2 linked regions of the Canis lupus familiaris genome follow. The protein of the gene in region 1 purifies or fractionates together with the protein of each later gene. This does not show direct contact. Links are inferred from orthologs where the notes say so. Each region holds a gene or a part of one and is shown on either strand. Other genes may lie near its edges.

The links. Proteins that work in one complex are often made in the same cells at the same time.
Region 2: the proteins of CAPZA1 (region 1) and TNKS1BP1 purify together in Homo sapiens (affinity purification with mass spectrometry; 3 studies listed by BioGRID and IntAct, with this or other methods). This does not show direct contact. The link is inferred for Canis lupus familiaris from reciprocal best matches to the Homo sapiens genes CAPZA1 and TNKS1BP1.

What each region holds. Positions count from the first base shown.
Region 1 is NC_049238.1:63,624,563-63,630,153, reverse strand, and holds the end of CAPZA1 (F-actin-capping protein subunit alpha-1), read left to right. Parts: intron 1-318; coding exon 319-390; intron 391-2,498; coding exon 2,499-2,561; intron 2,562-2,935; coding exon 2,936-3,076; 3' UTR 3,077-4,500; downstream 4,501-5,591. UniProt on the Homo sapiens protein: F-actin-capping proteins bind in a Ca(2+)-independent manner to the fast growing ends of actin filaments (barbed end) thereby blocking the exchange of subunits at these ends.
Region 2 is NC_049239.1:39,279,288-39,284,666, forward strand, and holds the start of TNKS1BP1 (182 kDa tankyrase-1-binding protein), read left to right. Parts: upstream 1-2,079; 5' UTR 2,080-2,185; intron 2,186-4,659; exon of another isoform or gene 4,660-4,820; intron 4,821-5,145; 5' UTR 5,146-5,160; coding exon 5,161-5,254; intron 5,255-5,379. Other genes in the region: FACT complex subunit SSRP1, read left to right, coding at 117-303, 555-626.

The DNA.
Region 1 (5,591 bases):
AATTATTTTAATACTATTAAGAGTGGAATCTTATTTAAGGTCTTTGTATTCATAATACCTAGCACAATGCCTGGAGCAAATAATAAATACTTTGTTGAACTAACTTATTAATCGGTTTCCCCTGCTAAGAAAAGCGAGAATTCTTAAAATTTAAAGTGTTCTGTGAACTTAACCACCATTTTAAGTTACAATTGTTCATATTAATATTTTGTTCAGAGTTAGTAAAGATTGAGGATGACTTAAGGCATGGATTTGTACCTTAGCAATGGGTTTCCTTATGAGCTACACATAAACTTGCTCAACCACTGTCTCACACAGGTTCACTATTATGAAGATGGCAATGTTCAGTTGGTTAGTCATAAAGATGTACAGGACTCAGTAACTGTTTCGGTGAGTGTGGAATATTTAATATCTCATTTGTGCCTTGTTTTTCTTTGAAAAATTTGATTTTGATCCTGAGTATTGATTCTGTCTCTAGAAATTCAGTTTGTTTTCAGTGCTTTGATTTTGGCAGTTGATAAAAGTATGCAATCAACTGGCTATAATTAGTTCATGGTGTTTGACTAAATATAATAAATAATTATGTAATATAACATAATGTGGGGCACCTGGGTGGCTCAGTCAGTTAAGCATCTGCCTTCAGCTCAGGTCATGATCCCAGGAGCCTGGGATTGAGTCCTGCATTGGACTCCCTGCTCAGTGGGGAGCCCGTTTCTCCCACTCCCTCTGCCCCTCCCCCTGCTTGTGCTTTCTCTGTCTCTTTCTCTGTGTCAAATAAAAAAATACAATCTTTTAAAATACATATATATGTGTATATATATAACATAAAGTAACATAGCATGATATATTGACAAATAGTGATAATAGCTTTAGAGAATCCAAACTTCTTTCTCTCTTTCTCAATTGTGGATTTGCTCAAGGACAGCAAAATCTTCAATCAGTAAATACCAGAAAGAAGGAGTTTTCCAACAAATCCTGTAGAGCTGCATTCGTTTCACTAAAGAAACTGAACATTTTTAGGAATATCCAATTTAAAAGTATTGTGCCTAATTTTTTTTTTTTTTTTACATTCGCAGTACTTCTTTATATTGTAGAAGTTATTGAGCACCTTCAAATAGGTATTGTTTGGGGTGCTTGGCTGTCTCAGTTGGTAGAGCATGTGACTCTTGATCTCAGGGTCATGAGTTCAAGCCCCATGTTGGTTGCAGAGTTTATATTTTGGGAAAGAAAATCTTAAAAAAAAAAAAAAAAAGGACACCTGGATGGCTCAGTTAGTTAAGCATCCAACTCTTGATTTAGGCTCAGGTCGTGATCTCAGGGTTGTGAGATCAAGCCCCACGTTGAGCTCTGCACTCTGTGCCCCACCCCCACCCTACTGCCAACCAGGAACATGCTCTTTTTCTCTCTAAAATAAATCTTTAAAAAATAAAATAAAAGATAATTAAGAAAAACAAAATAACCAGATAGCTTTTGTTTATGTATATCTACAATATTTACCTTATTAGGCGTTAAAACTGAGAAATGTTAAATGTATTTATTAATTTAAAAATACAATAACAAACCCATTACTTTTTAACCTAAATAACATTTTCATGAACAACAACCATATTTTCCAAACCAAAAAAAAATTATGCAAAGAATGGCAGTGGTTGACATTTTTACAAATTGTATAGTGTCTGACTAAATAAAAGACCACTGGATTCTCATATGTGCCCACACATTCCATTAGCTGTCAGAGTGATGAAGCCATCGCACATGTAGCTTCTGAGACCTGCATTATGCACACTTGAGAAGGAGAGTGGAAAAGCAAATGACTTGTCTTAGTGTTGTTGTAAAAACAAAAGATGGGTTTGACTATTTGAAAGAATATGGGGACTGCTGCTTTAGGTAGAAAATCTTACCTTTTACCTTTAATTGTGTTCTACTTTAATGATGAAAGGAAGAGAGAGAATGAAACCAAATAAACCAAAGTGAAAAGGATATGTTCAGTTAATATTGTACCTGAGTCACATAAAGCAAAATGTGATGGTTGGCTTAACATAAGTAGCAAATAGAAGAGTATATAAGTTTAACATATATGGCTAATAGCGGTGAGGGCATTGTTTATATCATCTGAAAGCAGAGATATTTTCAAGGCATATACATTTCAAGATATTGTGATGATGTCTTTTTGGGCATACCATGGTAGATGGAAAGAACATGGGGTCTCCTGGCAAAGACTGGGATTCAGACCCCATCTTTATCTTTCAAGAGCTGTATAATTTTGGTCTAGTCACAAGGATTCTGTTTTCTTATCTTCAAAGTGGAGGTGATGCTAATAACAGGTCTACTTCACAGAGTTTTTCTAAGAATCAAAAAAGATAACATGCAAGGGAGCACTTGACAACTATAAATTGTTATACAAATATTCAGATTTCTTTAAGATGGTCTTTTCAGTATCTTTTTATTCACTCCTTATCCTTTTTAAAAAATTCCTATTTCCCCCCTTCCTCCATTAGAATGAAGTCCAGACTGCCAAGGAATTTATTAAAATCATAGAGCATGCAGAAAATGAGTATCAGGTAAGATCTGGAACTAATTTTTCTAGATCTTTAGTACCTTATTTTGCTGTTAACACATTTCGTTAGACTTCTCTTTGTCCTTTTAACATAAATATACGTGTTACTCAGTGTTAGTAAGTGTGGAGACTATAGACCTTGCAATTTGGCATTATGCTTACAAAGTTTCAACATTGGAAGGGATTATAGATCTAGTTTTAGAAATACTGTAAGTGGGCTTCTTAACTCACTTCAGAAATGGGAGAGGAGCTTACTAGGAATAGTACATCCTGTCTATCTTTACAAGACTCAGGCATGTCCTTTGACTACAGAGTTACTTTCCTAATCACAACCATCCTTTTCTGTTCAAGCAACTTATCTTCAATTATCTGTTGCAGACAGCAATTAGTGAGAACTATCAAACCATGTCAGACACCACATTCAAGGCCTTGCGCCGGCAGCTTCCAGTTACCCGCACCAAAATCGACTGGAACAAGATACTCAGCTACAAGATTGGCAAAGAAATGCAGAATGCTTAAAAGCTGAATGTAGGATTCTTCAGTACATGGAAAGAAAGAATTCAACATGCGGTCATATGATAAATAAGTGATTTATAAACAAGAGTGATATTTTGCTAGGGCTTTCAGAGTTAACAGGTTTTCTAGCCTCATGGAATACTGTTGAACCGATAGCATTGTCTTGATTCTTTTGTGTTCTCTGCCTTGTAATTTTTTGTTTTCACTCTATCTACTTGTAAATTTTTTCTTTTTTTAATTCTGCCACATTTAATGATGGAGAGAGAGACAGGCAGACAGACCTATCCTGGAGTCATTTTACTGTTTAGAAAATTTTCCTAGCCATGAAGCCCTGTTACTGATATAGACAGGTAATATGCTCAGTACTTTTCTACCGCTATCCTTCAAAACACTTCTGGTACTTCAGCGGTTTTTACTGATCCACCAACAACAGCTAAAGAGGCTATGCTGCAAACTAGCTGAATGGAAGACACACTCATCCTTCTCCCTCTGACTGCTTTGATCATCATTTATAACATCTCATAATTGTAGTTTTGAAAGTTTAGATTGGGCTTTTCAGGTCCTTTTGTGAGGGCAAAGGAAGTTTTCTGGAAATTCCATTATAGCCAACTTCTCTGGGGAAGTTGTTTTTAAATCCAAAGACTTGAACCACATTCCCTGCACATGAACATGTTTGCTTTTTTCTCTTCCCTCATTGTCTCCTTCCCATCTAATATCATTATAGTTAGAGACATCTGCATTTTTAGAAGAGTTTTACCTGTTTATTATTATTTTGTATTATTCAAAAACTGCTGACCTACTAGGGGTGTAGTAGAGTATAAAACTTAAAAAATGCAGATGTTGAAGGAATACTAGGTATCTTGTGCTTTAATACTTTGTGGCAGGATTATACTATAAGCAGATGAGTCAAACAACTATGTAAATCACAAACAAAAAAACTAAAAATGAACCAAAGTGAAAAGGATATGTTCCAGGCAGTATCTTTCTATTGTAACCTGTTATTTAAGGGAATACTAGTGATTCGTTCTAAATAGGATGTAAAACTTGTTCCAAATTACTCCTCAGTCCTGCCTGCCAAGAGCTCAAATGTAACTGTGATATAGCAACCCTTCCCAGGTGTATTGGCAGGTAAATGTGTGATCTCAGAATACACAGGTGACATAGATATGATATGACAACTGGTAATGGTGGATTCATTTACATTGTTTACACTTCTATGACCAGGCCTTAAGGGAAGGTCAGTTTTTAAAAAACCAAGTAGTGTCTTCCTACCTATCTCCAAATAAATGTCAAAAAAGAAGGGTGTTTGTGCTTCAGCTTTGTTTTTGCTCAGTAATACAGTCAAGCAAGTTTGTTTCCAAGTGACCTGTTGAGCTGTGTAAGCTTTTTTGTTTATTTCAAATAAAATATATTTGTATTATGTGTCATTCATACTATATCCATTCATACCACACTATCCTCTGTATCAGGTAGTCCAATAGAAATATACCTGTTTTGTTCTTAAATTGTCTGAGTCTCTCCTTTTCAATCCATCTCTTCAGTTTTTGTTCTCAAGGTAAGATAGAATTGTGTGCAGTCCTATTTGATGAGGATGTTCAGGGTTTCTTAAATTGGTTCCTACCTATTACAGATTCGGTGATTATCCAAAGACTTGGAAAGAACAGCTTTTTTGTTTGTTTTTAAGTTTCAGCATTGTCTCTATGGATAATACTGTTCTTCACCTAAAGGCTATGGATGAATCAGAGGGTTTGTTGTGTGTGTTTTTGGTTTTGGTTTTTTTTTTAAGATTTTATTTTTAAGTAATCTAATCTCCACTCCCAACATGGGGCTCAGACTCACAACCCTGAGTTCAAGAGCTGCATGCTCTATTGATTGAGCCAGCCAAGCACCCCAAAGTTTTTGTTTTGGTTATCCATTTCTAGTTATCTTCTGTGTTTGTCATTGAGAAAGCAAGGCCCAAATATGGCTGTAATCACTAGGAAGTAGCAATGAAAGAATCCCTGTACCTTGAACTTGGATGAGATTTTACACTGACTTAACCTCTAAATGCAGCTTTCCTTCCAAATCTGACTTAGCTACAGACATGAGAGAAAGGCTTTTATCCTGGTTCCTGAGAGAACCAGAGGAGTTTCAGTGATTCACATTCCATCTGAGGCCAGTTCAAATTCCCCACCTTTTGGGGGAACATTTGTTGTACTATACTCTGTACTTGTAGTGCAAACAGAATCAAATCTTCTTGCCTTTGCCTTTAACTTATTAACTCGGTCAGCCTGTCCCCAGCCTATCCCATTTCCCTAGCCCATATAGACTTTTGTAAAAACTCTTAATCACTTGGCCATCTAAAGCCCTTGGTTATTTGTATAATTGGGAGGAGGTCAGCCCTCTTTACCAAGTCCTGCAGAGATCTGCCTTCCTTAACCTAACCTCCTTCAGTGGAATATTTGCTTGAATTGTATATTTTATCATGCACTACTCCAATCAGCCTGTGAGATCTTAGGGCAGAGGTTTCTCAGCCAGA
Region 2 (5,379 bases), on another chromosome or scaffold:
TACAGTGAGATGGGCGGTGTGGCTGGGAGTGAGAAAAGCCCTGTTAAAGTTAGGGGTGGATTGGCTTTGATGGGTGAACCTGAAGGCCCAGGCCCTTTTCCCTCTTGCTGCTATAGGGACAAGTCAAAGAAAAAGAAGAAAGTAAAGGTGAAGATGGAAAAGAAATCAACGCCCTCGAGGGGCTCATCATCCAAGTCCTCATCAAGGCAGCTAAGTGAGAGCTTCAAGAGCAAAGAGTTTGTGTCCAGTGATGAGAGTTCTTCCGGAGAGAACAAGAGCAAAAAGAAGAGAAGGCGGAGTGAGGTGCGGCAAGAGTTTAGGGGTGAGGGGCCTTGAGGCAGAGGGGTGGATGTCTGAGGGCCAGGGGCTGTGGTAGGTCTGTGAGAGTAGTGAGTTGGAGTGGAAAGGTGCAGTTCTCAGGTTCTGAAGGCGAGTGCTGCAGTGGGGGGTTGGGGGTGGGTAGGGAATTAGGGATCCTTCACCACTGAAAAGTGGCTCCCTGGGAGGGCAACCAGGACTCTAAACCTTTCCCTTAAGAGACCTTTGATTTTCAGGACTCTGAAGAAGAGGAGCTGGCCAGCACCCCCCCCAGCTCAGAAGACTCGGCATCAGGATCTGATGAGTAGAGAGGAAGAAAATTCTCTCTCCTTGGGCTTGCCCTGTCACAACCTGCAGTCTCTCCACCCGTGTTTTGGTACCAGTTTCTCATGAAATGCAGCCCTTGGATTTTGTGCCATCTTGACAAGCTCTCCTGGTGACACGCACTTCACCGGGGCAGCAGGGGAGGTGTCCTCCTCTCTACTGCTTCTCAAGGATGGCTCTTGATAACTTGGGGAGAGATTGGGTGGGGCAGTGCAGTGCAGGGTGGAATCCTGAGCCTGCTCCTGCGACCTTAGGGATACGGCTGCTGCTTCTCCTGTTCAGGTTGCTGCAGCAGGGGTCAGGTGAGGGCAGGCCATAGCTCCTAACGGGGCCTATTTCTACTTTTATTTTGTATTTCTGGTCTGTGAAAAATCAACATTTAATAAAGGGAACTGACTTTGGAAACCATGTGCTAATGCCTTCTCTGTAGCCCTGCTGCTGTACACAGGCGCCCGTGGTCCGGGGGTGGTGGTTGCCGTACTGTTGTGATTGGGCCGGGCCCTGCTGGCCAGCCGGGAAGCAAGCCTCCAGGTACATCCTGTTCTGTTCCCGGTTGGACGGGCATTGGTTTTCACTCTCTCCTGCGGGGATGGGCCACCTGAGAGTCTAGAAACCAGAGCTGATCTGATTAGGAAGTCACTCTCACAGTTTCACTCCATTAGCCCCGCTGAGGGGAGGCAGCCTCTGGCTCAGTCCTTCATCACCCGAGTCAAGGGTCTTCCATGGCTTTAGATAATGGAATAAGGATTGACCGGGCTGCGCGCAGCGGGGGCGACGGAAACCCGAGAGCGGAGAGCGGAGGGCGGTGGACGGCGAGTGGTGGGGGTGGGGGTCAGGGTGCAGCCGAGGTGTGCAGCGCGGGTGCAGCTTTTGTTCTGGTGGGGCGGTCGCGGAGCTTCCGTCCGGGAAGGGGGATAAGAGCACATAAGCGAGGGCCGGCTGGAGAGCCGGGGCCCGCGGCCGCCCCCACGGCGGCTCCACGCCTCGACCGGTACACGTGGAGCGGCCACGTTGCGCGCGTTCTCAGGTGTTCGCCGCAGGAAGCCCCTCCGGTCCGCCAGCGGCGACCTTCTTTCTCGCCGGGACTCTATGGTGCTGCAATCAGGGCCCGCGGCCCGCGGAGCCCGAGCACGAGCCCGAGCCCGAGCCGGAGCCGGCCGCCCTCAGGCCGCCTCTCTAGGCAGCCGTCTCGGTGGCCATCTCGCCCAAGCGCTCCCAGCCGCCGAGTTGCGTCAGTTTCGCCGGGGTCCGAGCCCGGGGCAGGCCCCTTATTTGCAAGACTCATAAATAATTGAGCGCCGGGGCTGCCGCTCATTTGCATACGGCTCGGCGTGCCCGGCCTGGGCTTCCCGCTCCCGGGTCCCACCGGCTCATGAATATTCACGAGGCGCGCTGGGGGCGGGGCCCTGGGCGGAGCCAGGGGCGGGGCCCCGCCGGGGCTCGCTCAGGCTTGGTCCCGCGGTGACGGCGGCGGCGGCGGCGGCGAGGACTGGCGTCGGGGCGCCGAGCCCGAGCCGCGCGGAGCCGGATCCCCGGGGAGCGCGTGAGTGCGCGGGGGCGGGCAGGAGGGCGAGGGAGGGGGCGGGGTCCGGGATGGGGGCGGGGGAGAGGCATGGAGGGAGTGGGCGCTTTCCTGCCGGGACCTCGGGTCGTGGAGGTGGTGGCGGGGGGCGGGGGGCGGGGGTCAGCGGGAAAGTTTGCAGGGGCCGGGGGCGCGGGGGGCGCGGGGGGCGCGGGGGGCGCGGGGGAGCGGGCGCGTGCGCCCGGGGGCGGTGGGTGCAGGGTCTGGAGCTCGTGCTGGCCGAGCTAGAAGAAAGGGGGGAGGGGGAGGGGGCGAGGGCTTGAGGCGGGGCCGGGGGCGGGCGGAGCTGCTGGAGGGACCCCCGCCCCCTCCCCGGCTCCCGCGGCACGCCCCCAGCCACCCCAGTCCGCCCCCACCCGGCCCGCGTCCCCAGTCCCTCGTCTGTTCGCCGGCTGCTCAGCCAGCGCACCGGTCCTCCGCTTCTGCCGCCGCCCCCTCCTCCTCCTCTCCCCTCCTCCTCCTCCTCCTCCTCCTCCTCCTCGGCGGCCGGCGTCCCCTCTGTGTCCAGGGCTCCCCACTGGGCCCCTCCAGACGGCCCCTCGCCCCGGGCTGTTCCGTCTTCCCGTTGCCCTCCCTCCTCCGGTGGTTTCCGTGCTGTCCCTGCCGACCTCTCTGGCCCCGGATCCGGCCGGAGATCCCAGGGTCCGTAGGGGCGACCCCGCTGGCGCTGAGGGCGCGCTGGGCCGCTGCCTCCCCGGGCTGGAGCTGCCCAGCCTCTCCCCAGCCCCCCTGGTGGCCTTTGCGCCCGGGGGTCGGCTGGTCCCCCGCTGACTGTTGGGGCTCAGGAGTGCTCAGTGCTGCTGCCGTTCTACAGCTTTTGGCTACGGCCTTGGTCACCTGGGTTTCCTGGCTGGGCCCTCTGAGCTTCTGTGGCCCTCAGGTGGGGAAGCCGAACCCCCCCCTTCATTGCTGCAGCCCCTCCTACTGCAGAGGTGCCCATCAGGCCCCCCAAGTGAAAGGGTTTTATGGTTCTGGGCCAATCTGTCCCCATTTCTAACCACCCACACCATGTCCCTTTTAATAATGTTCAAGGACAAGGAAACAATCTTGTGTGTTTTTAAATTTTTTTTCCCCCTGTCGTGCGCCCCTCCCCCATGCACACTCGGACTGGCTCTGCACAGTTATCACCCACCCACCGCGTGCGCTGCTCCCTTGTAGTTGGCTGACCAAGGGATTGACGGTCCTGGGTTTGTCTTTACCCTTGTCGTGTTTTCTCCCATCTTAGGAGCCAGCTGGGGCAGGGGCAAAAGTGAGGGGTGGTTGGGTTCTGCCAAGGCTGGGCCCCAGGGGTCTCCTCTCAGGATTTGGCGCTGTCTCCCCCAGGCCAGCTGGAGTGGGTGGTGAGGAAAGCAGTGCCCCTTGCAGGCGGGAGAGGGTTGGGCTGTCCTCAGGGCTGCGGGCATGCCCGGTGATGGGAAGCCTCCTCCTGCCTTAGGAATGAGAGGGGTAGGGCTCTGGAGCCTGGGGGGTCTTGTGGGTGGGATGGAGCTAGAATGGGAACTGAGGAGGTGGTGGGGTGTCTGAGGAGCAGGTGACAAGATGGGCCCGCGGGAGTGGAGGAGTGGTTTGGAGTGCTGGCAGCCTGTGGCCTGGGGAGAGGAAGAGGCAGTTAGTTACCAAGGATCTTAGCTCATTGGTGACCCTGCATGGAATCCTACTAATGCTGGCCAATATTTGCTGGATACTTTTTATGGGTTAGGCGTGCACTCTCACATAGGCCTCCCGCCAGTCTCAGGTAAAGCTGTGTTTCACATAGGGAAACTGAGCCATCGAGAAGTAAGCAGTGTGCCTAAGGTCACACAGCTAAAGAAGTGGTAGAGCCACTCAGCATTTGAATCCTGATGTGTCAGACCCCAAAGCTCCTGCTTGAGGCTTAGAGGAGGGGCATCATTCGGTCTCTGCCATAGGGCTGTGTTGCTTGGTTTAAAATTTCTTTGGCTCCCCCTCCTCAAAATCCCTGGGACCGACCCTGGGCTGCTGAGTGATGCCCAATATCCCCATTTCATAGGCTCTCCCACCCTGACTGCCTAGAAGGGGGAACCCCGGGGAGTTATTTCCCCCAAGCCACCCCACCCCCCGGATGTTCTCAAGTCCTGTCCCATTCTCCCAGCCCAGGCCTGGGCCGGCTCCTCCTTCCTCTTGGCGAGGCTCTGGAAATCCAGTGGGAGGCCATTGCTATGGCAACAGGACTAGGCCCTGGCTTTACCTCATCAAATTCCAAGCTGAAGCCAAAGCGATTGAGAAATTAAAGAAAAAAAAATGTATTCCAGATGTTTACTTTTTATTCCTTATTTTTCCGTGTTTGGATGAGACGGCTCGGAGGGAGGCGGGAGTGGGGCTGGGATGTGGAAGGAGAAAGGGGGGGGCTGAGCGGGGAGAGGGAACCACTCCCAGCTGCAGGGGGAGGGGGGAAGGAGGGAGAGCGGGAAGGGGGAGGCAGGCGGCGGGGCGGAGCCCCAGGTTGGGGAGGAGCGGGTTTTTCCCGTCTCCCATGAGGTGATTCACAGAGGGACCTCAGAGCTCGCGGCCCTCTTGCTCTGCCCCTGAGTAGACGTCTCAGGCTGGGCCGCCGGCCCCAAGGGGTGCCCTGGGAACGGTAAGTAGGGGGTCTTGGAGAGCTTGCCCCTGGGAGCAGCGGGTCCCTGCCGCTCCGGGACTTTAGGGTGAGGAGCCCGGAGTTTAGAGAGTGGTCTGGGAAGAGCGGAGGTTACAGCTGTAGGGGACCGCTCTTGACCTCCCCAACCCCCCTCCGAAGTTCCTGCTTCCTGTCCCACACTCTGCCTCTGCTGGAAGTAGGAGACTTGTGTCAGCTACGCCTACTGCCAGTGCCCAGCCCCTCTGCCTTCTCAGTCTCCCTCCCTCTTTTCCTGGGTCTCCAGCCCCCCGGCTCACAGCCCTCTGCTCTCCAACTCTTCATGCAGGGTCTGCCGCCTGTGATGAAAGTGTCCGCTCTCAGGGAAGGCACTGCCATGGCTTCCCCACCGCCCCGGGAGACGGAGGAGGAGCTGGGATCTGCTGGCTCCGAGCCAGGTACCTATGGGTGCAGGGTGGAGCAGGGTGGCTGGGAGGAGAGTGGGAGGGGCAGCAGCCGAACCCCCTGCTCTGTCTTGGAGGGGGTGGGGGAGTGAGGGCAGGAGGTACGCTGCTGGGGATGT